Linked DNA regions of Diceros bicornis minor. The protein of the gene in region 4 interacts with the protein of the main gene of each other region in a biochemical or structural test. Links are inferred from orthologs where the notes say so. Each region holds a gene or a part of one and is shown on either strand. Other genes may lie near its edges. The genes, in order: TEC, PTPN6, GRB7 and KIT.

What was found.
Region 1: the proteins of KIT (region 4) and TEC form a complex in vitro, tested with the Homo sapiens proteins (2 studies listed by BioGRID and IntAct, with this or other methods). The link is inferred for Diceros bicornis minor from reciprocal best matches to the Homo sapiens genes KIT and TEC.
Region 2: the proteins of KIT (region 4) and PTPN6 form a complex in vitro, tested with the Homo sapiens proteins (2 studies listed by BioGRID). The link is inferred for Diceros bicornis minor from reciprocal best matches to the Homo sapiens genes KIT and PTPN6.
Region 3: the proteins of KIT (region 4) and GRB7 form a complex in vitro, tested with the Homo sapiens proteins (3 studies listed by BioGRID and IntAct, with this or other methods). The link is inferred for Diceros bicornis minor from reciprocal best matches to the Homo sapiens genes KIT and GRB7.

What each region holds. Positions count from the first base shown.
Region 1 is NC_080747.1:39,661,672-39,669,781, forward strand, and holds the start of TEC (tyrosine-protein kinase Tec), read right to left. Parts: upstream 3,402-8,110; 5' UTR 3,333-3,401; intron 3,256-3,332; exon of another isoform or gene 3,154-3,255; intron 1-3,153.
Region 2 is NC_080756.1:54,821,996-54,830,155, forward strand, and holds the start of PTPN6 (tyrosine-protein phosphatase non-receptor type 6), read right to left. Parts: upstream 3,243-8,160; 5' UTR 3,012-3,242; coding exon 2,998-3,011; intron 1-2,997. Other genes in the region: C17H12orf57 (protein C10), read right to left, coding at 3,768-3,919, 4,682-4,858, 5,163-5,214; ATN1 (atrophin-1), read right to left, coding at 6,930-6,963, 7,173-7,353, 7,698-7,841. UniProt on the Homo sapiens protein: Tyrosine phosphatase enzyme that plays important roles in controlling immune signaling pathways and fundamental physiological processes such as hematopoiesis.
Region 3 is NC_080757.1:39,388,721-39,396,291, reverse strand, and holds the start of GRB7 (growth factor receptor-bound protein 7), read right to left. Parts: upstream 3,237-7,571; 5' UTR 2,928-3,236; intron 2,898-2,927; exon of another isoform or gene 2,667-2,897; intron 1-2,666. Other genes in the region: MIEN1 (migration and invasion enhancer 1), read left to right, coding at 7,112-7,200, 7,302-7,399. UniProt on the Homo sapiens protein: Adapter protein that interacts with the cytoplasmic domain of numerous receptor kinases and modulates down-stream signaling. Promotes activation of down-stream protein kinases, including STAT3, AKT1, MAPK1 and/or MAPK3. Promotes activation of HRAS.
Region 4 is NC_080747.1:42,550,233-42,558,058, reverse strand, and holds the start of KIT (mast/stem cell growth factor receptor Kit), read right to left. Parts: upstream 3,155-7,826; 5' UTR 3,080-3,154; coding exon 3,013-3,079; intron 1-3,012. UniProt on the Homo sapiens protein: Tyrosine-protein kinase that acts as a cell-surface receptor for the cytokine KITLG/SCF and plays an essential role in the regulation of cell survival and proliferation, hematopoiesis, stem cell maintenance, gametogenesis, mast cell development, migration and function, and in melanogenesis.

The DNA.
Region 1 (8,110 bases), about 2.9 Mb from region 4:
ATCAAAACAGTTCTGAATTTCTCAACAGCAATACCACAAGCCAGAAGGTGACAGAACAATGCCTTCAAAATTTCCATCCTAGAATTCTAAACTATCAATTGTCAGTGGAAAACAGATATTTTCAGGCATTCATTGTCTCAAAAAATAGACATCCCATGCATCTTTGACAGGAAGCTCCTTGAGGATGTGCTCTACCAAAACAAGGCAGTCTACCAAGATAGAGGAAGACATGTGCTACAGGTAACAGGAGATCCAACACAGCAGACAGATGATGGGGATCCTGAGGATGATGCCAAACGGAGGTGGTCAAGCGGACAACTGTGCCCTATGGGTAGAGAGGGCAACCAGGCCAGGTTAGAACAAGCCAAGAGGCTCAGGGGCAGCTTCTTCGGGAAAATGAAATTGATAGACTACCTGATGCATCTGAGCGAAGATTTAGAAAACTGGCCAAGAGCTTTGGGTTAAATTAATGACGAGTACCTAAAAAACTAACCAAATGAACAAACAAAGCAATTATTAACTCCAATGAAAACAAAAAGTTGTACTTGGCTTAGCTATGAATATTGATCTAACCAAAATTACTGTTTAACTATTGCAAGGATGGGAAAATAAGGAAGCTGTGGTTGGGTTGGGGCTTAGAGGAAAAAAGAGAGCCAAGTCATCATCTTCCACAATGGGAAGTCAACAGATAACGCCTCAAACTGAAAAACTCAAGAAGTATCAACTATAAGCAATAAGGTCAAAATGACCAGCTCAAAGAATTACAGTGGTTGTTTCTGGAGAGGGAAAAATGTAACTTGGATAAAAGTTTAAAACTAAAAAACAGAACAAAACAAAACAAAATTGGCTTCAATGCCCACACATTTTTCCATTATTTGCTTTTTCTTTGTTCCCGTAATAACAATTTGTTTGGAAAAATTCCATCCTTGTTTCCCCTAAACAAAAGATAATGTAATTTTCACTTCTAGACCACAGTAGCTGTAGTCATCCGAGCTCTGAGCAGTCAAACATGGTGGAAAAGTTAACAGTTATAATCCAGGCCAGGAAAGGACTGGTTGAGCTAGGGCAGAGCAAGCCCAGGTGGAGGCGAGCTGGGAGGTGGAGGCAACTACTAAGCCCCTCTCCTCTGGGGAGCTTTTTGACAAAGCTATTCTCATGGCATAATCACAGGGTACGGGGTAATTTTACAACTGCCAGTGACCATGGGCCAATTTCACTCCTTTCTAACAGATTTACACGCCCAATTTAGGACCCTAATCCAATCAAGGCAGCTGGCCCCCAAAGTGGTTATTCTGGGTTCAACCACAGTCACTCCACTTTCCCTGTGCAGCCTGGATAAGAGAGCACAGTAAGGGCTCTGAAACAAGTGACACTGTCACCAACAGATATTTGATGATACTGAGTATCCAGTGCTGAGATACTGAGCATCCATAGGGCACCCAGCACCAGGCTGAGGGTCCACACCCCTGTCAACTATGCAGACCAAGTATCCCTGCCCTAAACAATAATTCTCCCCAGGGGTGGGAATCCAGAGAGAGGTGGAGTGGGATGGAAGCTAAGGAGCTGGAAAAGCTGGGGCGCGGACAGGAGGCACCAACCTGGTTAACCTGGAGGAACTTGCAGGCAGAGGTGCGCTTGGAGGCCCAAGGCCCAGGCTCCCAAAACTCTGGATACCCAGAGGAAGGCAGGGAGACCAACAATTCTTCCCCAAGCATAAAAGTGGCCAGACACTGCCCACAACCCCCGCAACCACCCTGTCAAGGGTCAACTTCAGGCAGCAAAGGTCGCCATTCTCTGAGCTTTACCATGATTTGATAAAACACAGCCCTTGCCCTAAAGGTCTAACTAGCTGCTGAGAAAACACGACAACTGTTTTGATCTTGATACAGAATAAGTACATAAACAGGTTGAAACTGCTAGAGCATACATTAATATTCTATATTCTATATTAATATTCTATATTCTATATTCTTTCCTACTTGGGGAGATGTGAAAATTTTAGTTCAAGGACCTATGTGGGGCAAAGGTATCGCACAGCACTGATTTGCATGATTTACAACACTTGCCCTATACAGTTCCCAGGGCCAAAATGTACACATCCTTGTGGGAAGAATCAAGATCATTAACATAAACACGCTGCAGTAAGCATCATGAGCTGGCAAGAGTAGTAATATACTGATCAGAGTAACTGGGACATGGGGAAAGTATAGATCTTTCTCAAACACTGAAAATGTAACTAAGCTAAAAAATACTTTCAAATATATAATGAGAAAATTACACACTCTTCTCCATATATGGAGACATTCTATAACGTGATTTTTGCCAACTAAGGAGCTACCAGCATCACAAACTAACCTGTTAAATCCTAAACTTATTTGGGAAATCTATTGGTTTGTTGGGGTTGTTTTTTTCTCCCCAGCTCTTTAGAGGAGAATCATCCAGAAGAAAGTAAATGCTCAGAATTTCCTAAGAGGAAAATGGGCACTCACTGGAAAAATACAGGGTATATGCTCAAAACGCTTAACTATTTTGGATAACCTTCAAACCCACTTAGCCACCAGCCATCCTGTTGTTCCAAGTTAACATTGAGATCAACCCTTCTAATCAAATATTCCAGTCTCCAAAGAATGGCAATAGATGATCCTGTTTCCGAACCTGGTGCAGAGCCACGTGTTATTCTTCCATTAAAAATAAAAATCAAACCAAAGGAAATGTAGGATCCGAGGAAAAGTGCACACTCCCGGGTCAAGGCCCCAATTTTTGCAATACAGGGATTCATCGAACCCCTGTTTTCAAGATTCAAACACAATTTCCCAAATAAAAAAATTTGAGCTTGGTGGGGTGAGGCACTCGGACACGCGCAACTGTGGAATGTCGCCGTCGATTCTCACAACTTGCAATCAAGACTGCGCTGCTGCCCAAGCAAAGAGGAGGAATCAACCTTGACGCGCAGCTGGGAAGTGAACCCAACGCTGAACTTGCCGCGGGGCGGCCTCGGCCCAGGGACCCAAGGGGAAAAGGGGCAGGTGCTCCTCGGGAGAGGCCAGTCCCGGAGCCGGGAGGCGGAGAGGCAGCGGCCGCCCGGAAAGCGCGGCTACGCCGGGGCGCGCACCTGTCCCTTCTTCCGGGACCAAAGGGGACGGGATGCCTCACCTGGCGCGGCGCTCTGTGCTCGCGGTGGTGCGGAGGGGTGAAAATCCTTCCTCGTTCCACGAGGGTCAGTTTCTAGGCTTGTGGAATCCACCTCTGGCCGCACGCATCCCAGTCCCGACCCTTCCCGCCCGGGGTCCCGCAGTCTCGAGGCCGCCCCTGCCGGCCCGCGGCGTCCTTACCTGGCTGGAGCGCGCCGGCTACGCCAAGCCCTGGAGAGTGAGGTCCCGCCGGCGCCGCGGAGTCCGGAGCCTGGCGCCCTCCGGCCCCGCCCCCGATCGCCCCGCCCGCCCCCGCCCCGGCCCGCCCCGGCCCCCGATCGCTCCGCCCCCCATCGCTAAGGCCCGCAGCGACAGGTTTCCACCGCCCTGCCCGCGGATTTGAACCTGGAGGCCAAGTGAATCGGAGGCGCGTCCAGGTTCCCGCGACGCAGCGGGAGTTTCAGAGAAGTCGCAGGAGCGTCCCTTGTGTTCCAGGACGCGGCGCTGGTCCTCCCTAGGGCCGGCCCACCTACGCCGGGGGAACCGCCCCTCGACGGCTGGACGCCGCCGGCCCGGGAGAACCCCGAGTGCCTCCTGTGGGTGACCGGGGACTTTGTCGGAATTAGGGACCGAGCCTTCTCTTCCGCTGAGTGGTGGCAGGCCAGGCGGCTGATGCGGTGCAGTGGAGCGAAGCAACGAGTTTTACCAAAAGAATAAGTCTGTTTACTGTCAAACCTGAGGCAGCGGAGCATATCTGATACACTTAGATGGTCACGTGTCCTCACTCTTAATGTAGTAACACTGCACTCACTCACTGAAGAGTAAAAAACTGCTCTTGCGTAAGACTATGTGCTAGGCACTGTTGTAGGTACTGGACACGCATTAACCTTTCTATGAAGTGTATGTTATCACAATCCCCCATTTTACTTGTGGTGAAAGTGAGGCATAGAGAAGTCGCATAACCTTCCAAATGTCGCCTAACTAGTAAATTGAAAAGCTCGGGTTCAAATCCGGGTAGTCCTCCTCCAGAATCTGGGCTCTAAACCACTGCTATCCTGACTCACAAAATTTGAGTGTCCACCATGTCCCATGAACTGTTGCAGGCCTGGTGAATACAAGACAAGGACTCTACCCTCAAGGAGCTTTTAGTCTAGTGTGGAGAGAAGGACAATAAGTAATCAATAAGGAAGTAAAAATGAAGCCGTGCATATGTGAGAAGTGTCTTGACTGAAATAAAGCAGGGTGATGGAATTGAGAGTGATGGGGAGGGGGAGGCCACTTTGGATCTGGTGGTTGTGGAGGCTTCTCTGAGGAGGTGACAGCGGAGCAGAGAGATGAAGATAGGACAGGTAGTCAACCTGAAGATAAAGCTAAGGGAATGGCAAATGCATTAATAATTATCATGCTTCTTGCTTTTTTAGGACTTAAAAATATGCCTTCCTGTATTGTCTCTCCCTTGATCATACAATAACACTGAGAAGTCAGACAAGATTCCAATTTACAGGAAAAAAATAATCTGAGGACGGTATTGGTTTAATGACTTGCCTAAAGTTATACAATTAACTAGGAAAAGGGGGCAGGGTGGGGATGGGAAGAATGCACGGATTTGAATCAAGGCCTTCTGATTCCAAATCCTCTTTTGCTCTGGTCGGGCGGTGAGTATAGTGACCTGTCCTCAGAATGAATTTAGCACAATTTCTCTTTTGTGATCTACTGTCTCCTCCTAGCCCCTCTCTTCTGCCTCTTATCCGGTTCAGATACTTGTGTTGACTAGTTAGCATAATTTCCCCCAGGGCAGGTGTTCTTTGAGGGAGTAGAGGTCAGGAAACTTCTGAAATTGTATGCAAAAAATTGTGTGTGTGTGTATGAAGGAGAGAAAGAGAGAGTTACAGTTATATATTTACGGTAAAAAAAAGTTGGTTTTCTCCCAAGAAAAATGCTCACATACATATACGCATAAGTGAGAGGACTTGGAACCTTCATCAGATGGACTGATCCCAGAAAGGTAAGAGCCACCGTCTTAAGGGGTTAACTGATAATGTGGTAATTAAAAGAAATGATTTCCAACTCACTTTGTCTGTGCTAGCTGGGTGACTCTGGTGGCTCTTATTTCTGACTCAATGGAAAGGAGGCTCTCAAAGTTTATGACGTTTGATTGAAAGGGCAGCAAACCCATACCCTCATATAACCCCTTCCTAAAGTTTAAAATTAAAAGAGATGAAAATGTCTATATTGTCCTCTTAGTTCTCAAGAAAACCAGAGAACTGATCTGTAAACAAAACATCTACATCAATATAACTCTTTATCGGTGATAACGGGGGTAGTTTCCATAACCGTATATTACTTCCTGAAGAAAATGAAATTCATTACATTATCAAATAGTTTAAGTAGGTGATATACCTATATCATTCCAAAGCAAGTGGCAGAGAATACTGGTAATTGTTTTCAGGAGAGTGTTGATAAAAAGAGAGACAGAAAGAGGTGAGACTATTAGAGGACTTCAACTACATCAATAAAAAGGTGTCAAACTGAACTCAGGATGTGGTAGGCTAAAAAAAAAGTTAAATCTTATTATTTCTGATGGGAAAAGTTCAACAGCTTTAATAGAAAACAGAATACAAAGTTTAGGCCTATATGACTCAAAACTTTTACATGGAGCCCTCATCAAAAGAAGGAATCTGTTGGTGGACTTAAAAGGATTTCTCCCTTTGCCTCCAAGGAGAAGATTCAAACAATATTATTACTGCCTTCTTTATTTTAATAAAATTGAGATACAGAATAAAAGGCATTTATGTATTCTTCTTCTTGGAGACAGGGACCCCCTTCTTACAAGATAGCCCTATGGCTTCTATAAAATTTGTGTGTTTAGATGAGCAATATCAGGTTGACATAATTTTAGTTCCTTGAGAGAAGAAAATGCCTCTTTTTAACTCGCATATAGATTGCACATTGTGCATAAGAACACACAGGATCAACCTGGAAGATTTGTAAATAAAGTAGTGTTTGTATTTGGAGCTTCTCATGCTCTGGGGAACCTAGCCCATCACAGGTGAATAATACGTGTTGAATGAATGAATGATGACAACAATGATGATGATAATGCAGACCTTGTCAGTCTTGTACCAAGAGTCTGTTCATCCATGAAGATGACATCATTGTGGTGGTGTCATATCTGCCTCTCTTTCCATCATGTACTGAAAGTAGTTACTTCTTTGGAACTACACAGAAGGAAGGAAAGAGTTTTAATTGTTGGACACAAAATTAAAAATTATACTCCTGGGAACAGTTGCTAAATAAATAATTCAAAAGAAAGAAAAAGCATTATATGCAAAGTACTTTTATAAGACCATCACTTAGAATAATAAAATAATTAAATGTCCAATAATAGAGAAATGTTTAAGCAAGATATATCACTAGCATGGAATGTCAGGCTGTTATTAAAAATTCTATCTATGTTAATAAAAAGAAATGTGGAGGAAAACTTATGAACATTAAATGAAAAAACAGAACACATGCTTTATGCATCCTATGATTACAACTAAATAAAAATTATGTGGGAAAAATTGTTGGGTTGAAAATAAGAATTATGATGGACAGTTATTGAGGGGGTTTCTATGTGCCAGGCTCTGTTTTTCGGTGCAATAGATTAATTCGTCTAAGTCTCACAATAACTGCACAAAGTAGGTAGAGTTGTTATCTTCATTTTACAGATGAAGAAACTGAGGCAGAGAAGGTCTACGTAATTTGCCCAAAGTCACACAGTGAGTGGCAGAGCCAGAATGTGAACATACAGCAGTACAAGTCCAGAGTTTACACTCTTGACAGTGCAACATTGCCAGAAATTTCCTTGTATAATGTTTTTATGTTGATTTGATAGTAAGCAAAAACTTTTTAAATTACGGAGTCAGAGAAGATGTCACAGAGGTAAAACCAGATTATACTCAGAAGAAGAAACAGGTAAAGATGAGAAAGATATTGAGGGGAACCATCTGGGTTTGGTCAATTTGTGTTTTGGATTAGGATCTGAAGAGTGTTTCAGATGGATCCAGAATATCAACGACTTGATAGTTTATGAAGATTCAAATAAAATGAGCTATATTACAATAAAATGTTGTATGCGATATTATTAGTATGACTAAAAAGTCATACTGGCCTGATGGCTTGCACTTGCTGTTTCTTCTGCCTGGAATGCTCTGTACCCAGATCTTTTTGAAGCTGCCTCCTTCTCAGTGGTGGCAGTCGTGAAAATGAGACCATCACTGCATTAGCAGGAAGCTGAGAAAACATTGGTGAATGATCACAACAAAACTCCCTGCTACAGTGGCACTTACATTCTGGTGGAAAGGTCAGTCATTTAAAATTCGATTTAGCTACAAGTAAGGAACATCCCCTTGAGGTATGCTGAATAAAGACCCATCAAAGATGTCTACATCTTAAATCCCCAGAACTCATGAATGTTACCTTACATGGCAACAGGGACTTGGAAGATGTGATTAAGTGAAGGATCTTGAGATGGGGAGGTTATCCTGGACTATGCAGGTGAGCCCAATGTAATCACAAGGGTCTTATAAGAGGGAGGCAGGAGGATTGGAATCAGAGTTCATCCTCATCAGATGTGATAAGAGAAGCAGAGAACATACAAACAGCAAGACAGAGATTTGAAGACGCTACACTGCTGGCTTTGAAGATGAAGGAAGAGACAGCAAGCCAAGGAATGCAGGCAGCTTCTAGAAGTTGGCAAAGGCAAGGAAACAGGTTCTCCCCTAGAGCCTCTACTAGGAGCCAGCCCTTCCAACCCCTGGGTCTTAGCCCAGTGAAACTGATTTTGGACTTCTGACCTCCAGAAATGTAAGAGAACACATTTGTGTTGTTATAAGCTGGTAAGTTTGTGGTAATATGTTACTGCTGCCATAGGAAAGTAATAGAGCTCTTAATAGGAGTTTATTTTTCTCTTATGTGTAAGAAGTCAGTGTCAGGCT
Region 2 (8,160 bases), on a different chromosome or scaffold from region 4:
GTATGCTATACCTCAATTAAAAATAAGGAAAAAATAACAAAATGTTAAAGCCCAATGAAAGTGTATTTTTCCTATGATGACTACTTTATCATCTTTTGAAACATCAAACGTCAATTTTCCCCCCTAAAAAGAGCTCCTCCTCCCTTCCGGTGCCCTGGGGAACTTGCTTGGCCTGTTTATTGCATGGTCTAACACTGACTACCCCTGCAGTCTTGGACGGCCACCCTGAAGGACCATGAACACCCTCACAGCGAGGGGCAGGAAGAGCCCTTTGCTCTAGTTGCTGCTAGTCTTGCTCGCCTCCGAATGTTCAAAGCTGAGCACGCTTCTCACGGAGTACATGTCTGATAAACAAGCTCATCAATACCCGTTCACATATGTGGTCACAAGTCCAGCCTCCTGGTCCTACACTTGCACACGCTGCTTGTCACATATAGATGAGTACACATACACGCACATACAAGCCTCCATTTAGGCACATGGTCCCACCACATGCACCTCATCATCCATGCCCATCTACACACATACCTGGTCCGGTGCAAACACCCACACACGTTCACACCACCCTGACCACACACGAAACTGCAGGTCCGTGCTCGGCACTAAACATCTGCTGCACCCTGGCCACAGGCCTCTCTCCTTCCGGGGTTTAAACTGACTTGGCAGGAAGAAACTAACCAGGCACCCAGAAACTCCTGACCCATGGAAGAGGCAGGAATTTCTCTGAAGCCAAGTAGTCAAGCTGGAAGACAGACAAACACTAGGATAAGATATACAGTCTCTGCTGTCCCTTGACAGAAAAATGAATCGTAACCACCTCCCCTCCACCTCCCCTTGACATAAGTGCTCTGGAGTTTGCAGAGGACTTGCAAACACACAACCCCATTGGGCCTCAGACATCCCTGTGAAGTAGGAATTATTGTTTAACGGAGGAAAACAGGCTCAAGGAGGCTGAGAATTACAAAAGCAAGCAACCAATCATTCGGAAGAGAAAATTCACCTGGGAAGCAGGGAGATAAAGGTCGAGATAGAGATCAATGGTGATACAGAAAGATAGGTGGTCTGGAAGAGCAAACAAAGTGAAATAATTTCTAGAAAATTATGAACTTCCCGGAGCCTCGTATCCCCACCTGATAAACGGACTTAAGAGTATTTCCCAAATACTGATGTAAAAAGCTAATGTTTAGTAGTAGGGTTTAAGTGCCAACAGCTTTTACTTTACATTTTTTTTTTTAAAGATTTTATTTATTTATTTATTTTCCCCCCAAAGCCCCAGTAGATAGTTGTATGTCATAGTTGCACAGCCTTCCAGCTGCTGTATGTGGGACGCGGCCCCAGCATGGCCGGAGAAGCGGTGCGTCTGTGCGCGCCCGGGATCCGAACCCAGGCCGCCAGCAGCGGAGCGCGCGCACTTAACCGCTAAGCCACGGGGCCGGCCCTACTTTACATTATTAATCCACATGCCAACCCTATTCGGTAGGTCTTAGCCTAATTTTAGAAACAAAAACTAAGGCTCAGAGAAGTTAAGCAACTTGCACAAGGTCACAAGTGAGTGGGAAGGTGGACAAATCAAGGCTGTCTGATGCCAGGGCCTATTGCCGTCTCCACCACACCAACCGCGCCGCTGGAGGCTGCAGTGCGGGGGGATGGGGCAGAGGGCACCGGCACAGCCCACGATGGAAGCGGAGGGGCTGGTGTTCCCACAGAGGCAGCCTCTGCAAAGGCCCCGAGCGGGCAGGCACAGGGCCACCTGAGCCATGCTGGGGTGTGAGCAGAGTGGCATGGCTGGAGCAAAGCTGCTCAGAGAGGCTGGCACCTGCTGCAAAGGGTCTTACAAGGCCAGGCTGAGGAACCAAGGAAGGACTCTGCACCGGGAGAAGCCTTGCCAGCTACCTGGTAGGAAAACAGCCGTGGCAGGAGTGTGGGAAGGATGAGGGACCAGAAGACTCAATGAGAGCCCTGTCAGGGGGCTGAGGGTGACGAGGTGTGCACTGGGGGCAGCAGTGCAAACCGGAAGGGCAGACGTGTGAGAAGAACCAGCAGGACTTGGGGAGACCAACCCACAAACACCAACACCCCAAGCTGGTCTTCACTGTAAGATGCAAACTCCAGCAAGGCCTAACTGCCTGTCCCTGTTCCCTCTCCGCTGGTTTACTCTGCGGCAGGCGCTGTTCTTGTCTCTTTTGTTCCCACTGCAGGGCCTTTGCACTCGCCACTCCCTCCGCCCAGGGGCACGTGACTATCACCACATGGCTGACTCTTCCTCATCATCCAGGTCTCAGCTCCCGCATCACCTTCTCAGGAAAGCCCTCCCTGACCGCTCCAGCTAGTGATGCCAGCGGCACACTGTCACTCACTAGCACATGAAACTGTTTCATTTTCTGCATAACACTTCTGAGAAATGATCCTATTAATTGGGTTCCTTGTGTAGTCTGTCACCTCGCACTGGAACGAAGCTCCGTGAAAGCAGGGACCATGTCCACCTTGTTTGCTACAGTATTGTCAGCACCTTAAAAAGTACCTGGCCTGTAACAGATGCTCGGCATGTATGTGTTGAATGAATGATGCAGGGGAGGGGAAGTGACAGGAAACCGAGAGAAAGAGGAGCGGAGGCCAGATGGGAAGTCATGTGGGAACAGGGAGCTTTCTCAGGTTTGCATTTCAGACACCCTGTTTCAGGTGACGTGGGCTACCCAGGGGCACAGGTCCTAAGCAGACGACAGAAGCAAGGGAGAAATGCAATGGTGAGAATAAATACACATCTGTCAGGGGAAAGTCCTAGAGAAAAGGAGCGGTGGGGCAGAGAGGCATGAATCAGCCTGGGATTCCTCACATCTTGGGGGGAAGCAGTATGTAGAGACAGGAAGCAGACCCAGGGCAGGAGGCAGCAGCAGATTGCACTCATAGTCTCACACCTGTTAAAAGTGAGCATGAGCCCCGCCTCTCCCTCCCAAAGTAACAGGAGACTGTGGTACCCAGGTGGAGCGGGGGACTTACCCACGGGACAGCATCTCCCCAGAGAGATGGGGAAGTCGCAATCAGAGGGCCACAAGGGGCGGGGCTGAGCCAGGGGCACAGCTGTGCACAGTGGCCCAAACCAGGTGAGGAAGAACGCTCGGAACTCGGCCACTTCCTCCTCGAAGCTGACCGCTAGGCCAATAGCACTGCAGGGACAAGCCCCAGGACTAATGATCCCCGGAAAAGGGACAGGTGGGGCGGGACTGGCCTCACACAGCCTACAGCAGCCTGCTTCTCCCTCCAGCCCTGCTCGGTAGTCCAGGGCCCGCCTGCCTGTCCAGGGCCTCCCTCCCTTGGGATGGGAGGAGCCACCTGGAGCTCCACCTGGCGCTCAAGCTGACAGAGGGAGGGCGGGTGGAAGCAAAGACCAGGAAGTAACCCTGGCCAAGGGAACACAAACCAATGGGGGAGTCTCTCCATGCACAGAAGCCAAAAGGCCTCAGGAAAAGCCAGGAAACCCCACTCCTCAGAGGAGGTGCCACCTGTGCAGACCCACTCACCCAGCATTTTGAGGGACCTGCATCCTCCCACCCTGTCTTGGAGGAGGGTTGGGCCCCACAGGAGCATAGGAAGGATCTGGACAGGGAAATGGAGCAGCCTGGAATGGCAGAGGGAATCTGGGGCCAGGAGGTGGGGGTTGTCAGGGTCACAAAAGACTGACACGGAGGCTAAGTCACAGGCAGGTTTATTATCCTCTGGAACACCAACATCTTCCCTTCCCAGGCAGTGTCACACGGGAGAGCCAACCCTCAGGAGGCGGCCACGCTGCCACCTGCAGCAGGCCCGTGGGGTGGCAGTGTCATAGGGGGCAGGAACAGTGCCTTCAGCTTGCCTGACAGGCTGGCAATCTCAGGATCCTGGGCTTCATACGACTTGACCAAGCGGGCAAACTTGAGGACACCTGCAAGGGGGAGTGGAGCGTCAGCCCACACCCCAAAGGGACGGGTGTGCCCAAGATGGCAGGGGGGAGCAGCTGGAGCATGAGTCACTGGCTGCGCCTCCTCTGGCCAGGTAGCTGTCTGCAAAACACAAGACACATGCAGGTCCCTACCCTGTGTGGTTCGGATCAACCACTTCCTGGTCTACACCAGGCACAACTGGATAGGATGCAATTAACGAAGATATCCCAAGCAGTGCGCTTCTCACTATCAGGTGAACCATTTTAGCAATTTAGTCACAAGAACCACAAGTATGAACACCCATGAGATCCCAAGTCTATATAACCAGGACACATGAGGGCCCTGGGCCAGCTGGGCTGAGTCAAACAACATCCTTGGGGAACACCATGATCTCAACGGAATTGAACTGCTGACCCTCAAACAGAGATTAGCTGAAACACCTTGGATGGGCTGCAGAAGCCCACTGACACGCAGACATATCACTAAAAGCTCTCAGAAGGGGTTCAGGTCCAGCTCTGCTGTGACCTCGGGCACTTAGTTTACTGCTAGAGTCTGTTTCCTCATCCTAACATGGGATAACCATATCACCACTTACGGTAACGACAAAACGCACCTGGGGCATCGCCTGGCACAAGTTCGGAGTAGACCCTGGGCTCTGAGTGCTAATAGTCAGATGGTGACTGCCGCCGTGTGGCGAGAAGGACGACGACGGCTCAGGGACCCGACGGATACAGCGCCCTCTCCCCGACCTCCGTGCGACCCACCTTCCCCGTCGCAGCTGAAACCATAGGCTTTGATAACCTCCTGCTGAATCTGCGTGGCCACGGGCAGCACGAATTGCAGCATCTTGCCCATGTCGTTGCACGCGTTGTCCCGAGCCTCGTCCATGCGCACGGCGTTCTCTGGGGCCGAGAACGCCTGGATTACCTCGGCCAGGACCACTGTGCCGCAGATGCATCCCAGGGAGGCGTCCGGGATAGGCGTCGGAGCATGGCCGGCGGGCCCAGCCAAGAGCGCAGGGAAGAGGGCAAGGAATTAATTAGTGGACTGAAGCCATAGTAACCCGACAAATTCGACTCCCGAATCCCTCGCTCTAGTAGACAAGAACCACCTCTTGGAAGAGTAAGGACGGTACCCCTCGCCCCCGTTCTCCGGCGATGCAACCACAGCTCTCGCTCCGTATCCTCCGCCTGCACCCTCCTTGCGCAGGCAGCCCGCCCACCCTGTGACGAGCATGCTTCTCACCCTTGGCCTGTTCGGCGCTCAGGGCCGCGGGCTGGGCCGAGGCGGACGCCATACGGCAACAAAAACCGCACGTGCGGCGGAACCAACTTAACGCTCAAAGAAAAAGAGGGTTCTCTTGCAGCGGCTCTCGGGGATGCGGGCGGAGGGGAAGCGCATCAGCGTAGCCGGAAGCCTCTCCGCGTAGCGCTGGTCTCCCTGCTGGGACTTCCTGGCAACGGCAAAACCACTAAATGCGAATTTCTAATACTCCAGTACTAGCGACAAGTAGACACCACCCCATTTCAACTAACTCTATTGTTCAAAACGAGCGGTGACGGGGTTTTCCAGTAACAACCAGAAAACCTACTAGACAAATTCTAAAAGAGCTGTAACACTAAAAAGAAAGGCCTGGAGAGAAGGCGGCACAGCCAGGAACTCCACTATCGGTGAGGGTGAGCTCAGAACGGGGTTCTTCTAATTCCTACTGTATAAGCAACGAGGCACAGTGTAACTTTCAGAAGGAAAAGCAGTATTCTAAGGAACTTACTCATATCATTGATTTCTGGAGTTTGTGAACGTTTGTTAAGGCTCTATGCAAATGAGACCGATGCTGATTGGCTGAGAAAGAAGCCAGTCACACCCCTTTAGTTTTTAAGAACGGAGACAGTGACTCGCAGCAGTAAAAGCTTGGAGCTAGAGTACCTCTCGCGCTTTCCTAAAATGGCCTTGTGATGCCATGTTCGCTGCAGCGGTACGCCCTCTAATTTCTTTTCTAAGCTTGAAGTTGTCACTCGCTCCTTCCTCAAACCATAGGATTCCAATCGCTTTAACCCACCGAAACTACGGCCCCTGCCCCTCCGCCTCATAACCGTTTCTCTAGCCATTCCACGGAAAGGATTCAGGACTCTGGTGGCTCCTAGCCGTGGGACCAGTTGCAAAAACGTTCTCAGACCCGACCACGTCCGAAGCGTGCCTGTCCCAGGCCTCCAGCATCTCCATTTCCCAGCCTTGGCAGGAAGGAGGGGATTGGCACCGGGAGGACCCCCACTAGGAAGCCAGGGCTCCAGGGCCCCGGGCTCTTCTGAGATCCCGTCTCCAACTCTCCAGGGTCCCTACACTCAGTGCCTTCAGAAGGTCCGTCCCTTCCCACTTCCCTGCCAGCCTCTCCGGTTCCACAGCTTCCTCTCCAGGGACCCCTGCGCAGAGACCCCAGCCCCCATCCCAAGCCCACCACCATAGCCCGCAAAGAACCAGTCACAGCCATCTTCCTGGGGAGTCGTGAGGATGTTTTTGTTTGGTTGTTTTTGGTTGGGATGTTTTTTAAAGAGCGTCATATAGATATTTATATATATAAATTATTAATGTGGGGGAGGGGCAAGGGACATACATCGCAGAGGGGGCGCGCACACACAGGGACTGAGGAGGGGCAGGGGCGGCACACGATGCTACGCAAAACAGCCACATCTAACAGATGAAATAATCACACCAACGGGGTGGGGGAGGGGTGGTGGCCACTGGGGGTTGGGCATGGGGGAGGAAGAAAGCAGGGGGACAAGGGAGAAGGACCTGGTCCAAGATACTGTGCGCTTTCTGCCCCCACCCCCACTACCTCCCCACCGCCACACACCACAGGAGCCTTGGACTTCCATCTGTCCCTTCCTCCCTCCCTCTGCTCAGCTGCGAGGCCCTTCAACTGAGCAGCACCCCTCCTCGGCTCTGGGTGGCAGGCCTGGAAGGAGGCCTCCAAGGTCCAGATGCAGGGGCCATGGGTGCTCTTGATCGCAGGTTCTACAGCGGCTTGTCGCTTTCCTTCTTCAGGTGACTAGGGGAGAGGGGGTACAGAGCAGAGAGAGGAGAGACTGAGGTCGACCCTGACCTGGCCCCTCTCACAGAGGGGGATGGTGGAAGAGAAGGGCCAGGTCTCCCTCCCCCAGGAGCCTAGTGCCCAGCTGGACCATGCCCACACCCTGCCAGCTGCCAGGCCAGCTGAGCTTGCATCCCCTCACTCCCTGCCAAGGGGTGTCGTAGTACCTGTAGTAGTCCTCCTGGGCAGGTAGGGGCACGCTGTGCAGCGGGTGATGGGCATGTAGCCACTGCTGCTGCTCTAGCGCCAAGCGCTGCAGCTCAGCTGACTGCGCGTGCATGGCCTGCAGCTGGTGAGCTGCTGACATCGGGGCAGAGAGGGAGGCTGGCAGGTCCCGGTAAGGAGTAGCTGTGGGCAGAAAGAGCAGGAGGCACATGACTGATGGGGTACAGATACTTACTCTGGGCCAGGGGAGAGCCAGCCACTTTACATACAGAGGAAACTGAGACTAAAAAGGTTAGGAAACAGCCAGTCCTGCAAGTTGCCAGTGGGGGAGTTAGAATTCAAACCTCTTAGCCTGGCACTAAAACCTATGCCTCTCTTGGGCAGGGCCTCAGCCCTCCTACTTCCATCCTGGTTCCTCTGGGCACCTCCTCATCCCTCCCCAAGCCCAACTAGGCCAATCTCACCCAAATTCCTCCTTTCTGCCCTTCTTTCACTAGACCCTCCCCACCTCCAACCTCCATCCTTACCAAAGAGCTGGTGACGAAGAACTTCATTCTCGTGCAGAGGGTGAGGAAGAAGGGGGTTGGGGAGGGTCCCGGCTGGGTAGGGGATCCGGGTAAGGTGAGACCCTGAGGCCAGGGGGTCAATGAGAGGGTGCACCGAGGCAGACGCTGGAGGGCAGAGAGGAGGAAGGTGTCACCAGAAGGCAGAATTGGGGGAAAAGCATGCATTTGGGTGAAGGGAGCCAAGCCTGGGAAGAGAGATGGACAATCAAAAACAGGGAGATCCAGAATGGAAGAAGGAGGCACAATGGAAGAACTGGGGGCCTGGGGGATGGACAGGACAAGACCCTACTGGAGTAGGACACATGGATGGCAGAGGACAAATTACAGTTGTCAGAGGGGTCTGAGAAAAAGGAAAGAAAGAAGTGCACTGCTTGGAGGAGATGGAAGAGGATAGAAAGTTTGGGAAATGAGACAGGAGGAGAAA
Region 3 (7,571 bases), on a different chromosome or scaffold from region 4:
GCGGGACAGTACTGCCTGGGGCTCTCCATTCAACCTTGACTCATCCGAACAACTTCCTGGCTTAGGAGAAACACAAACAACCCTGCCTCTACCCACCCCCTCCACTCCTGCCCCCATCCTACCAGCCTGGGAGGAATAGGGGAGGCACAGGGCAGGGAACAGGATAGGGGAGAAGGAGGAGGATGCGGGGCCTGAGGCTCCTCTGACATCACCTCCTCTTCCCCACCCTTGGCCTACCTCCGACTGCAACTGCACCAGTCCAGGTGGGACCTGCAATCTGCCCCCAGTCCTGTAGCCACCACCCAGCCCAGGAGCCCCCTCACACAGGAAGGGGAGAAGAAAGGCCCGGCCCGGATTCAGAAGCCCATCTGGAGTGGAGCCGACCTCCCAGTGGTGCCCCTGGCTCACCCAAGGAAACGCACAGCACTGCCTCTCCTGTCTGGGCCCTACCAGGCTTTCATTCTGCTGCTGCTGCCCACCCCTAGCACCCAGGACTCAGAAGGCCCAGGGGAGGACTCAGAAGGCCCAGGGGACTCGTCTGCAACACCTCTGGGGGATGAGGGTCCTGTTAACACACTTTCTTGGGTGTCCTGGCCAGAGGGGTGCCACAGCAGCAGGAGGGGAAAGTCAAAACACCCAAGAGGACTGACACAGGCAGACAGGGAAAGGCCTGGAGGGAGAACGAGGGAGGGGGCTCAGAGTCCTGTGGTGCAAAGGGCAAGACACACCCACTATCGAACATCAACAAACATCAGTACAGCAACACCAAAACACAATGCCCAGACTCCCACCTTCTGTCTAACCTCTGGCAAACAGCCCTGGTGACTTCATTCCGGGGAGGACTAGGGGGAGGGATGGCAGGGGCCACCCCCACCACGAAGTCAGAGACCAACAGAGGAGTGGGGGCAGGAATCGGGCAGGAATCGCACAGTGTTTGGAAGGGGAGAGGGGAGTAGATTTAAATCCGATTAGAGTCTGGGGTCAGAGGGCAGAAGGGCCGATTTAAGACTTGGGTTTTGGCTTTACATCCCTCCACGCTGCCCTCCAGACCCTTCTAGGCAAAGAGGAGTGGGGCAGTCAGGACAAAAGAGATGAGATGGGAGGAGAACGGGGTCCTAGCTGTGGGGCCTGGGCAGGCCCCCTCCCAAGAGATCTGAAGCTTCTGTTGAAACTGACCCCCGAAATCAATCTGTCCCCTCCACACTGCAGCTCCAAACTGTGGCTTCCCTAACCGCCTCTCCTGCCCCGGTGGCTCCGGCCCCACCCTCCTTCCCGCCCTCCCAGCCTCCTGCCTCCTTGTTTACTTCCTGAATCTTGCCCCACCTGGCTGGCCCCAAGGGCGGGTGGCAGGGCCCAGTGTTTAGAGCCGATAGAAAACAAGGCCACCTTGGGTGCTTCCAGGGTGGGGGGAGGGGCTGGTAGGGCAGAGGCCTGGGCTGGGAACCTGGAGGTGGCGGAAAGGCCCCCAGTCTGGCCCAGTACTCCACGTCCCACCCCCATCGGGATTTATTGTAGTGGGGAAGGCTTAACCTTTGGGGGAGCTCTCAGGGTGCAGGGCCCAGGTGAGGAGGTGGGGAAACCCCTGGGTCACCCAGAGTTGGGAGCAGGGCCCAGGACCCTGGGGCCCCGCCCACTCTCTCGATCAGGAAAAAACACCCAAGGGGGTGCGGGGGCAGCTCTTTTAAAGTTTAATTTGGGAAGAATGCTAGACTGTCTGTGGAGTTAATCATTACAGGCTGCTTGCCTTCATGGAGGGCCCCCCCAGCAGGATATCAGGGGGAGAAGGGAGAGCAGAGTCCAGGATAGGCGACCAAGAGGGGGCATTCTTTAAGGGACAGTGGGGTTGGGAGGCCTTCCAATGGCGGACAGGTGCATTCTCCATCCCCAACGTGCCAGGGAGACCCCCACTCGGGTCTTTCCCCAGACTATTCAAACAGACAAGACCATCTGCCCCCCAACACCACAGACTCTCCCTAGGCCCCACTGCGCTGCAAACCCCCCCCCCCCCCCCCCCCCCCCCCCCCCCCGGCATCGGCCCCTCCAGCCTTCCGAGCCCACTTCATTCTGAAGCCGGGAGGGATCCCCGGGCCTATCCCGCCCCAGCCCCCCATCTAAGGACAGGACCCTGTGTTCCCGGAGAGACGGAGCTCTAGCAATTTAGAGAATCCCTCACCTTTACTGCCCTCCAAACTGGAGGATGCCCCCCTCCCCCCGCGGAGACGTCGGTGTTTAGTAAAGACTTTGGGAAACTCAAACTGGGGTAAAATCAAATTAAGCAAAGGAGTGACCCGGGGCAGCTCCCTCGATATTCGGACCCTCTCCTAGCTCTCTTTCTGGGAATGTGGGGAGGGGCTAGTTTCAGCGGCAAAGCGCGTCTCCTGGAGAGAAAATCTGAGATCTTACTTTCCCATCTCCATCAGCTGGTTTCTCCGGGGGGCTGAGGAGGCGGGTACAGAGAGGGAAGGAAGGAATAAGGAGTACAGGAAATGAGAATTTGGGAAAGACTGAGGGCAGATGGTGAGGAGGGAAAGGGCGGGATGGGAGACTGGAGGAAAAGAAAGTGAGGCCGTCAGAGTAACACAGCAGGAGGCCGAATCTTTCCATATTGACCCGGGACCTTCCGGAGCTCCCCACCCCCAAGATGAAGTGATCGCTTTGGTCCTTACCTGGACCCCGGGCGTTGGTACACCTGGCTGGGGCCACTGGTTTAGGGAGGGAGACGCCAGGCCCTTAACTACCTGTCCCCCTCCTGCCCCCGCCCTTGGCCTGACATCACTGAGGGGGGAAGGGAGGGGAGCCAGGCGGGCCCCTGTCCGCACACCTGGGCAGCCAGCCAGCTCCTGGCCCAGAGACGGGCACAGCTGGGGCCCTGGTGCGGCTGGGGGTGGGAGCAGGTTGTCGTCTGGGACCGATCTCGGTCCCCTTACCTGGAGGAGCCGCAGCAGGAGTAGCAGGACACAGCGTCCGAAGTCCGGCTCTGTCTAGGGACCCCAGATTCGAAATCGACTTGATTTCAAATCCACTCCCTCTTCTCTACAGGTAGTAGGAAGGTGTCCCGACTTTGGACGTTGAAGTGGGAGTGGGGGGAGGGTCAGTCCTGTGTGTCCGGGCTCCTGGCCCAAGGAAACTAAAATTATCTTGGGCAGGTGGGGGCGGGGCCGGGGGAGGGGCCTGGGAGGAGGAAGCACAGGAGCAGGGGCGGGGACTCGCTGACTACGCTGGCTGGAATTGTTTTCGCCCTTCTTAGCCCGGCAGCAGGTGCCAAGGGAGAAGCGGGGAAAACAGTCGAACTGAACAGCCTCGAGAGCGAAGATCTAGAGTCCTCACGACCTGGGAGGGAGGGGCTGGGGGCTGGAAGGTAGGGGAAACGCCCCGCCCACTCTTCCGCATGCCCCTCCTCAAACCTGGTCAGTTCACTGGCCAAGCTAGGGGGCCTGTCTGCTGCTCTGGGTCTCACCTCCTGGGGAAAAGAGCACTCTGCGAACGAGGGAAGCCAGCCAGAGGGTCGTCCATCAACATGGCCTGCCCCTTGACCTCCTGCCACAGTCTAGCCAGCCAGGCTGTACCCTAGCCCCTCAGAGGTACCCAGGGTATATCCTCCCTTCTGAACAAAGTCCAGGGTCTCAGCTTCTTCTTCTGAAATAGAAGGGTTTAGGCAGGGTCTCTTGGTGGGAGGAGTGATCTGGGGAAAGCTCTGGCCAGGTGCCAAGGGACTCCCTTAGAGCGATCACGTTAGCTCTCTCCTTCAGCACTAAGCAAACACGAGAGGGCCGGGAGGGGACCTGGGAGGCTGAGATCAAAGGCAGCAGCCTGAAGTGGGTGACAGTTGGGTAAACAAACATCCACAGGGTGATAAGAGGTCTGCCCTGGGGGACCATTAAGGAGTGGCTCCAGCCTCAACTTTCTCCAAACTGGGTTTCCCTTGAAAAACCAGGTTAAGTGAACCAAGCAAAGAAGTCGGGGAGGGGGCAAGGTCACCTGGGCCATGGAGCAGCTTGTGCAAAGCACAGTAGACAATTCACTCAATCATTCATTCCTTCATTCATTCAACTAATATTTGTGAAGTACCTACTATATGCCAACCCCATGCTTGGTACTGGGAAGACAGTGGTGAGCAACAAAAACAGACTCTGCCCTTATTCTCACGCAGCCCAGTCGGGGAGACTGATGTTAATCAAAGAACACACAATTAATAAATGACAGGTGACAACTATTCTGGGAGAATGACTCACCCAGGGATTTACGGAAGACTTCTCTGTGGAAGTGATGATGGAGCAGAGGGGAAGCTGTCTGGGACAGGGAGGAGGTTGGAATTGGTGGATGGGGAAGGGAGGGCACCTTTCATCATGAGGAAACAAGTGCTAAAGCCCTTGGCAGGAGGCAGGAGGGGACACAGCATGCAGAGGCAGAGTGGGGGCGGAGGAGAAGGAAGGAGAGGAGGCCACACAAGTAAGCCCGAGCAGGTATGGAAGGTATGGGGAAAGACAAGTGTTTTGGACTCAGATGTTTTTCTCAAATTGTGGCCTGTGACCACCTGCCTCCAAATCTCCCTCGGCTTATATGAAAAACAGATCCCTGGGCCCTTCTCCATCTACTGAATCTCAGTCTCTGGGGCCAAGACCCAGGAATGTGTGGTATTGACAAGCCCTCAGGTGGTTGTTCTGTAAACCAGGTTTAAGAGCCATCCATCCTGTCTGTCCAGACTGGCAGGGCCTATGGGCAGAGGCCAGACCTGCAAGGTCTATCTGGGCTTATGTAGAGGCATGGGGGAGGAGGCAGATTTCTATTTTGGAAAGATCACTCTGGATGTCAAAGGATAGGTTGGAGAGGGAAGCCAGACTCAGAGGGCTGAGGGCTGTAGAATTCCATTTGTATGGCTTTCTGGAAGGGGCAGAACCATAAGGACAGAAAGCAGATCTGGGGTTGGGGAGGAGGGCGAAGGGTTGACAATAGAAGGGCACAGGGACTTGTGAAGAGGTAATGGACCTGTTGTGTATTTTGGTCATGGTGGTGGATGTACAAATGAGCGTGTCAGGACTCACAAAGAAGTACACTCAAGAGGGTGAATTTTACTGTGTATAAATTGTATATGAATTTTTTAAATTAAAAAAGAACAACAAAGAATAGATTTATAGATCAATGGAACAAAATCAAGAGTCCAAATATAAACCTTTAAGTTTCTGGTCAATTGATTTTTGACAAAGATGCCAAGACAATTCAATAGGGGAAAGGATAGTCTTTTCAATAAATGGTTCTGGGGACAATTGAATATCCACAAGCCGAAAGATGAATTTATATCCTTACCTCACATAATGTACAAAAATTAACTCAGAGTAGATCGTAGACTTAAATGTAAGAGCTAAAACTATAAAACTTCTAGAAGAAACCATAGGAGAAAATCTTCGTGACCTTGGGTTAGGCAGAGATCTCAGATACAACAGCAAAAGCACAAGCAACAAAAGAAAAAGTTGGTAAATCAGACTTCATCAAAACTGAAAATTTTTGCACTTTATAAGACACATTAAGAAAATTAAAAAAAAAAAGTGTCAAAGACTGGGAGAAAATATTTGCAAATCCTGTATCTGATTAGGGACTTTGTATCCCGAATAAACAAAGAACTCTTATGAATCAATAATAAAGAGACAACCCAATTAAAAATAGGCAAAAGATTTGAATAGATGTTTTAAATAAGATATACGAGTGGCTAATAAGCACATGAAAAGGTACTTAACATCACTGGTCATTAGAGAAATGCAAATTAAAACCACAAGAGGTACTACCTCACACCCACCAGGATGGCTATAATCAAAGAGACAGACAACAAGTGTTGACAAGGTAAGGGGGAAACAAATCCTCGTATATTGCCGGCAGGAATGGAAAATGGTACAGCCACTTTGTAAAACAGTTTGGCAGTTTCTTAAAAAGTTAAACATAATCTTACCATAAAACCCAGCAATTCTACTCCCAGGAATCTACCCAAGAGAAATGAGAACACACATACATACAAAGACACTTACATGAACGTTCATAGCAGCGTTATTCAAAATAGGGAAAAACTGGAAACTTCAAATGTCCATCAACTGGTATTAATAGATAAACAAAAGGTGGTATAGCCATACAATGGGATACTACTCACCAACAAAAAGGAACTACTGGTACATGCTACAGCATGGCTGGACCTCAAAAACTTTATACTGAAGAAGCCAGAAGCAAAAGACCACATTTTGTATCATTCCATTTATATGAAATGTCCAGAAAAAGCAAATTTATAAACAGAAAGCAGATCAGTGGTTGTCTAGGGCTGGAGCTGGGGGCTGGATTGACTGCAAACACGCAGGAGGGACCTTTTTAGGTTAATAGAGACGTTCTGTAACTGGATTGTAGTGATGGTCGCACAACTTGATACATCACTGAATTGTTTAAAAATTAACGGTTTAAAGTGAGTGACCTGTTAGTATACTACAGTGGGAAGGAAGAGGCAGCGAGACAGCCTCCATTTCTAGAGTTACAAAATGGTAATAACGATGCCCGCCCTGTAGGGAGGCTGGGAGAGACGGGAGTTGCAGAAACTGGGTGCACGTGATGGGAGCACAGAGCCTCAGGAGCAGGAGACCCCAAAGCCTAAAGCTTCCGAATGCAGGGGGGTGGCGGTCTCTGCCCCAGACTGTGCCTACAGTTTAGAGTTTTAAGAGTCAGAGTATTTGGGTGTGTGACTATGGGGTGGTTTAAAATACCATCAACATGTTAGCGACAAATGGCAACTATTCCATACCAAACCCCAGGCCCTGGGTCCTCTTGCCCCACCACTTTGTCTTCCTTTTGTAAACCGGCATGCGCCTTGCAGTCTAAGATATTTCATTAGATTAAATAGGCCGTGAAGCCCGGCAGACACCAGCTGCTGGACAAGCCCCGCTCTCTGAGAAGCCACGCCCGGGAAGGAGGTCTGGACCGGTCCGACCCGCTCGGAGCCCTCGAGCTGGGATAGAGGCAAAACGTAGCAGCAACCGCGGCCTGCAGGGGGCGCCCGAACGTAACGCGCGGCCCCCGCCCCGTCACGTGTCCGCGGCGTAGCGCACACCCGGAAGCAGCGGCTGGAGCCGAGCGGGCCGCAATGAGTGGGGAGCCGGGGCCGCCGTCGGTAGCGCCCCCTCCCGGGGAGATCGAACCGGGCAGTGGGGTCCGCATCATGGTGGAGTACTGGTGAGCGGCTTTGGCCGGTGGGGGGTCCGGACCGGACGGGAGTGGGTCCCCAGAGGCCCCTCTCCCGAAACCCAAGCGGACCCCAGGTATCGTCTCCGTAGTGAACCCTGCGGCTTCGAGGCGACCTACCTGGAGCTGGCGAGTGCCGTGAAGGAGCAGTATCCTGGCATCGAGATCGAGTCGCGCCTGGGGGGCACAGGTGAGGCCCGCAGAACACCTGCTGAGTCAGTGTTCTAAATCACAGCTCTACCACTTTCTAGCTCTGGCATTGGCTGTTATATAGTGTCCAGCAGTGTCTGGCACATAGTAAAATATCCAGCCAACTTGAGTCCCCTTCCATAGGTGAGGGGGTCACAGATGAAGCCTGTAGA
Region 4 (7,826 bases):
GCTTACACCATCATTTTAGGGACAGTTTATCTTCATTTCTGAGAGACTCTACCTGGAATGGGAGAGCTCACACCTAAAGCCCTTATACCCAAGGCTATAATTTAATGACTTCCCTCAAACTGAGAACACTCGAACTCAGACATCATAAGACAGGCAATTCTAGGTCTTTTTCACCAAAATTGGGAAAGTAATGACTTGGCCATCTTGTGTTCCCAGAACCTCCAACAATGCCTGGCGTTTAACAGGTCCTCATTAAATAGTTTCGAATGGGTAAGTCATGTGAATGGATATACAGCTGGGCACACGCGGCCAATCTCAGGTTTCACCACTGATGACTCTGGGAACTGACTTCTCCTCAGCCAGTTTCCCCAGCTGTAAAATGGTAGGGATGGCAACAGTTCTACCTCCGGTGCTTGTTGAGAGGACTGGAAATGCCAGGTGAAGGCTCCAGCACAGGCCCTGGCACACAGTTTCCAAATAAAAAGCAATAACTACGTACAACACACATGTAACGTGAAATTTAAGACACATCAGAAAACGTGCTGTAAATGCACAGCATACACGATTTATAAGGTCCTAAGGAAAAACGTGTGGATGAGCAGGAAAGACCAGAATGGGGATAAATGAATTATCTGGAATCCCTTTATAAGACTATCATATTACTTCCAGCAGGATATTAAGCCAGAATATCCTGTGTCCAGCTGCTGGGTATGACTCTAGGCTCACATCTGCAGGAACATGGGGAAGGTATGATTCACTATTCCTTGCAGGTTCATCCTGCCGGGCACAGGAGTTGTAAATACTGGGGGGAGGGGGGGGGTAGGTGATGAGGGTCCTGTAGAGTTGCAAGTTGGCACCTCCTAGCCCTCAAAGGGAAATAGCAGGCCAGCATGTGTGGATTGAAGAGAGGGCAGCATAAGCACATCTCCCTGCCTTAACCAGGGGGAGACCAGTAGGATACCACCAAGTGGTCCCTGTGACAGAGGCGGCAGAGAGATTTCAAGGAGGCAGGAAGGAATCAGGAAAAAACTCAGAAAAAGTGTAGAGTCTACACTCAGAACACTGGAAGAGGAGAATTTTTGGATCCAAAGGACCCTTCATGATGCAGATGCCTCACTGCCCCCTTCAGGAAACTGGGCTCTCCAGAATTTAAGCGACCTGCCCAAGGGCATAGAGAAACCAGAACGGCAGCACAAGGCTTTGTCACTACACCACAGTGCCCCCCAGAAGCCAGACCTTAAAATTCCCTTTGCCAAAAGCCTACTGGATGGAGCAAGCTACTGATGCGGAAGAAGGAAGCAAATGATTCATTTAATTTTTAAAAAGGGAAATATTCTGCGTGGTCTGTCTTTCTAGTGCCTTACTCCCTTCCGGTCTACATACCTTAACTGAAATTAAAAATGCCAAGATGTAAAGACCAAACGTTTCATTGGAAGCTTAGGCGGTCAAATCCACCACGAAATCCGGACACTCACTCACGATCCCTCCTACCTCACACGAGTCCAGATGCAAGGGCCCCCTTCTCCGACAGGTAAGCCCTGACAATGCCTTCCAAGACCGGGAAGGCGGACCCTGCATCTTGCGACTTTATGGGAAAACTGACCATAGAGCCCCACAATAGTTCATAGCGATGCTTCCTCTGGAGCCCTTGAATTCCAGTTCAGACTCACTTTCTGTCCTCACATCATGAGGGTAGCCTTAAAGCTTTTTAAAAAATGACCTGAGAGCGAGCAGGGCTCCAGGGGTTAGCTGGGCGACCTGCGCTCGCTCGCGCACCAGCGACACCCAGAGAAAAGGGAAGAAGGGGCAGGAATCTGACTGAGGAGCCTGTAAATCCTTCTCCTCCGCCTTAAGACCCAAGTTCCCGCGCAGATATAACCGGATTTTCACAACAGCTTTAAGATCCAAGTAAGATTTGCAAAGTTCCACTCCGTCTCCCACCCTTCACCTCCCGCAGCCCTTATATATAGATATCACGTGGAGTGAGTATTGCGAATCTCAAAATTCCCAAAGAAAACAGGGACCTGCGATTACAGGTTGCAGACACCGATTCCGGGGGCTTGCAGAGCCCCGCTAGCCTGACCAGGCGTGGGAGGCGGCCGGGGTCGGGGACCACGGCGTCCCAGCGCACTGTCCCTGCCTTCCCCGAGAGCAAGCGGCAACGCAGCCACCAGCCGCTTCCAGGCGCGTGGCAGGGAAGCAAGCGGCAGAGAGTGGCGAGCCTCTGGCACCGGACTTATTAAAGCTAAAAGTCTGCAACCTAGCGGCTGCTTTCCACACGCTCTGCCCAAGCTGCCTCTGTAGCCGCCCCCTCCAGGTTAGCGGGGTCGGGCCCCAGAGCCGCACGCGGCGCGCTCCCGGTGCAAAAGCATGACCAGGGGTTCGGGGGGACGCCGCAGCCTTCGACTCGCGTCCACGAGTGGCGCCGCGAGCAGAGGCGGCAGTGGGTCAGTCCTCAGCTCCCAGGCACAAAGAGCGCTCGCGGTTTGGAAAGCAGCAGCCGCAGAGCAAAGAAAAGCCTCTCCAACTTTGACCTCGGCGCGGCTGAGAAGCTGCGGGCCGGTCCCCCGGTGCGCCGGTCACACACGCGCAACTTTTAACAAAAGGAAGCAGCGGCCGCGCCTCGCACGGCGGAGATAACGCGCTGGGTGCGACCCGCCGACCCGTCCGCCTGTGCCCTCACGCACTCTCGGCACAAAAGCAACCCCAAACTCGCACGCAGCTCGCTGCCCTCAGCCTGCACCTCGCTCACGCCTAAACCCCCTCGCTGCCCTCATTTCTGGAAGACCCCAGCTCAGCGTCCCCACCACCAGCGGCTGGGGTCTCCTCGCGCAGGTGAGCGAGGCAGGGCGCAGGAAAGTCCGGGGACGCCTCCCATCCTCCCAGAGGCTGAAATGCACGGGCACTGGAGGGCCAGCAGCCCCCTCTCCAGACACACCCCAACGTGTTCGAGCCCTCGGGGGCACAGGCTGCGCCAGGGGCGCGGCCCCGGTGCCCGCGGCGCTCTCCCACCTGTCTGGACGCGGAACAGGAGAAGCAGGACGCAGAGAAAATCCCAGGCGCCGCGAGCGCCTCTCATCGCGGTGGCTGCGCTGGGATCGGAGCTCCGTTCCACGTTCCTGCTCTTGCCCAAGTGCACCAAGCGCGGCAAAGCCGAGCCCCCAAGAGCCGCGAGCTGCGAGCAGCTGCCCCTCCTCCCAGCGCCCTCCCCCTGCGCGCCGGCCACGCCCCTTCTCGGCGCCCCTCCTCGCCTCCCCTCCCCTCCCTGCCTCACGGCTGATTCTCGCTCCCTGCCGGCGGCGTCTGGCCCCTGCTTTTTCGACGTACTCATCCCGGGGGTCTGAGCCCGCGGGGAGCGGGAGGGCGCGCCGACCCTCTTCGCCGCTTCCCGACCCCGGAGCCCCTTCGTCTCTTCACTCCTGTGATGTGGTCTGGGCGCCGGAGGCGGTTCCCGGACGGGGGTGGTGCTGCCCGCGCGCTTTGTGAAGCTGGGCACCACGCGCAGATTAGGGCACGGGCCCGCCACCTGGCAGGTGCTCCCCAGACAATAAAGGTTCGCCGCCTGCCCCTCGAGCACGCTCCTGAGGGAGGAGGCTGGACGCCGCTAGTGGTGGAGGTGGACAGGAATTGGGGGCAGAGGGAGAAGAATGTCTTCTCCATTTCTTTTAGTCGGGGTGGGGGCGACCAAGCGTGGTGCCTGGCACCGCGGTAAAAGGCTAAGCCGCGGCGTAATTCTTTCTGGTCAGTTTCTCCACCTGCTTCTCAACCGGTAAGATCACAGTTGGTTTCTATTGGTCGGCGTGGCCTCCGCCCTACAAGCCCCTGCCGAGGCTTTTCTGGAGACTGGGGCCTCGGAGTGGGGAGGGGCGCCTTGCGAAGTTTGCTCTGGGAGCCCGAGTTTTTACACCCATTTGCGCCGAGATCGTTGTGCTAAACCCTCTGGGCACCTTCTCTTTTTGTCCCCCATACGGTTTCTCTGGCCCTCTATGCGAAGACAGTTACAGGGGTGGGGATCCGAGCCGTTCCTCTTCTGCTGCCCTAGCCTGTACCAGGAGCAAAATAATAGTGAAAGGATTCTCCTAAGCCAGGTTCCACTGCCTGGGAAGGTCCCAACAGTATCTGTATAGGGTTTTATAGTTCCTCCTTACACTGAATATTATTTCATGCTCACAATAACAGCTTTGCGAGGTAGGTAGAGCAGATATGTTTATTATTCTAGTTCTAGAAGTGGCCCAAGATCACACAGCTAATAGAGAGGAGACCCAGTCATTTTGGTGGCTCCGGGTATGATGAGCTTTCCTTATGCATCCTAATAAACCAGTAAAACACCCCTCCAGAGAGCTTAACAATGGAAAATAAATGGGAAATGCTCATCAGAAAAAGCGATGGAATAATTTAGATACACCTAGACTCTTCTCTAAAATAACATTCAAAATTTATAATTAACCAGCAGCACCCCACACACACTTTAACATTGAAAGTTCTCCTGTTTGATGTTGATAGGACCTAAGTTGGTTTAAGAAAAATGATTTTTAAAGCTAATCACTTAAAAATTATTGCTACTAGATCAATGGGTATGATTGCCTCTCTTTAAGATTATTTATTCATTCAACAAGCATTAAAGTGTCTACTGTGAACAAGGAGTACCATTGTTAACAGACAGATGTGGGCACTGCCACAATCCTTATAGTCAAGTGTGGGAACCCACACCCCAATGTCCTAGCAAATGGTTCAAGTCATACAGCTGTGGGAGAAGTGAAATGCAAAAGTCTCTGTACTCTGCGCCCTCAGACCACAGCTTTTTCTGAGGATGACAGAGATAAAAGCTCCACTCAAAGCAATCATAAGTTTCTGGGATCTTGATTTATTTCTAAAATCCATTTCGTAGTGAGAAAAAAATGACTATGAGTTAAAATATCAACATTATACCCGAGAGAGAAAATTCACAATTTTCTTCTTCAATCGACTGATATTGGAGAGGATAACAAGTCTTCAGAAGGGTGGATGAAAAGAGACCATATTGCAATTTAATTCTAGGCAGGAAACTTCTATCAAAGGGGAAAAAAAAAAACCTAGAGTAGGGAATTATACAATGCGTGACTGTTGTTCATGTTCACCATTCAACAAATACCTGTTGAGCACCTAGGTAGACACAAGACCTACAAAAATCAATAAGACAAGGTCCCTGTCTAGGAGGATTCACAGTCCAGGGGAGAAAACAGATGCCCAAATAAGAAACTATAATATCTACTAACGGGGCTCATGTTCTGCCAGTACACACCAAGTTGGTTGGTAGAATATTGAAATCTTTCTGTACTTATTGGAAAAAAGCCACTCCTCCAAAACACCTAAGTGCCCCCTCACTCCAACCCCTCCCTTGAGATACCCCAACTCTCCTCAGATCCAGCAATTAAAGGTTTAATGCCGGGCACAGCAGAGAGCCTCCAGTCCCTGTGCCTTTAGGGTGATTAGCTATTTTTAATAATACCCTCTGCCAGCCAGGTACTAAAAGGAGGCATCTAGAAGGTGCTCTGAGTGAACTGCTATGGGAATGAACTATATTTTAGATCATGTCCAATACAAACGTTTACAATGATGGAAATATTTGATATCTCAGGTAGGATGTACAGGACCAGTTCTGTACTCTATTTTGTGATAGCCCTGGACCCTTTCATGAATTATATTGTATATAATTTATTGTTTTCATAATTGTCCAGAGATGATAGCATTCTACACTTTCCTAGATCCAAGAACTCAAAAACGTGAGGACTTGAAGGTAGTGTGTGTGTGTGTACACACACATGCATTTTTCTGCATCTCCATCCTTCAGCAATACTTTCCTGTATTGATTCCCTGTCCTCATGTGCACTCAAGCAGCTCTAGGCTTACAGCTCATTAGTACCAATGTAAGCAGAGCTTTTCTGCCCTCATGAACATCTCCTTTAAAAGTATTAACTTGGCTTAAGTCACATGCCCACTTGGAACCAGTCACAAAGCCAGACAGATGGAATATGATGATTGGCCAGGTCTGGCTCACATGCCCACCCCTGGAGCCAGGGTTGAGTATCCACTTCATCCACATCCCAAGGCCTAAGAATGAGAAGGGATATGTCCCCAAAGAAAACCTGAGGTACTTTCACTAGAAGAAGCCGAAATGATGCTGCACAAATAGAACAGATGTTCAGTATTATGTACACCTGAAATTTATATAATGTTATAAACCAATGTTACTGCAATAAAAAATTAAATTAAATTTTAAAAGATGTTCTACTATTGTCTCACATAGCCCAAATCTCTAACTTGAAAAATTTTTTAATTTCTGATTGTAAAAGTAAAGATGCTTTCTGTGGAAACTTTAGAAAATACCAAAAATTATAAAGAACAAAACAAAAATCACCCAAGATATAATTACTGAAGCGTTCATTTTGGTGTGTTTCTTTCAAATCTTTTTTCTCTGCTTATGCTAAGGATTTTTTTTTCTTTGTATAATTTAAGATTTTACAATACTTGCTAGTTTTCTATCCAGCTTTTTCACTAATCATAACACAAGCATTGTCCCAGATCATTAAAAATTCTTTGGGGGGCTGGCCCCGTGGCATAGCCGTTAAGTTCGGCGTGCTCCACTTCAGCGGTCTGGGTTCGCAGGTTTGGATTTCGAGAATGGACCTACACCACACATCAAGCCATGCTGTGGCGGTGACCCACATACAAAATAGAGGGAGAACAGGCACAGATGTTAGCTCAGGGCTAATCTTCCTCACCCAAAAAAAAAAAAATTTCTGTGGAAACATAATACATAACAGCAGTATAATGTTCACTTGTATGTATGTACCATAATTCTAAATATGTAATCATTTCTCTATTTTTTTCCAGTTTTTTCCTATCATAAATTACTTGATTATGAACATCTTGGTGAATAAAACTTCCCTGCCTCTGATTATTTGTATAGGATAAATTTCTGGGGGTGGAATTACTACACCAAGGGTATAATCTTTTTCAAGTTTGTTACTTGATAGTCCTTATTTTTCCAGTAACCATTTGAAAGGTTTTGTGCATAAAGTGGGAGAAATGGATATGTGATCCTCATTGGTGGACTCTATACCAACAATAACCACCTCACCATTGGTGAGGATGGGAGAAGGTAGTGTATGCTCTTAGTTCAAGCTTTCACCCAGTGTTTATTGAACACCTTCTATATGCCAGATGAGCTACATTAGGTGCTGGGAAGGAAAAGTCAGACAAGACACAGATGCCGCCCCCATGAGATTTGCAGAAAAAGAAGAGAGACACGTAAGGGGATCAAAGATTAAATTGTTATATGTACCCTGACAGAGCTATGTGCAGGATGACATGTGAACCCTAAATCATGTTATACGGCGATCTCACGAGGCTCCCCCAAAGAGGTAGCAATTAGATTCTGAGGGATCAGGAGGAGAAGGCAAAGCAGGAAGAGGAGAACGTTCAAGCGGTAGGAAGCACACGCGCCAAGGGCAGGAGGCATGAAACAGCATGAGGACTGTGAAGAACCACAGTAGTGCAGCACAGTTAGGGAAACGGGACTGCCGGGGAGGGGAGAGTAGAGACCACAGAGATAAACAGGAACCGTTCTTGCCAAGAAGCGTGAACTTCATCCTCTGTGCTATGAAGAGTCACTAAAGGCCTTTAGGCTGGAGCCAGATGTGATGAGATTTACATTTTGGAAAGATAGGGAGGAAGCTGGTGAAGGATGAGTTGAAAGGGGCCCAAACTTGAGGCTGGAAGAGCCTGATGCAGCGATCCACAGGAGCAATGGTGAACTGAATTAAGTTCATGGAGGTGAGCGTGGT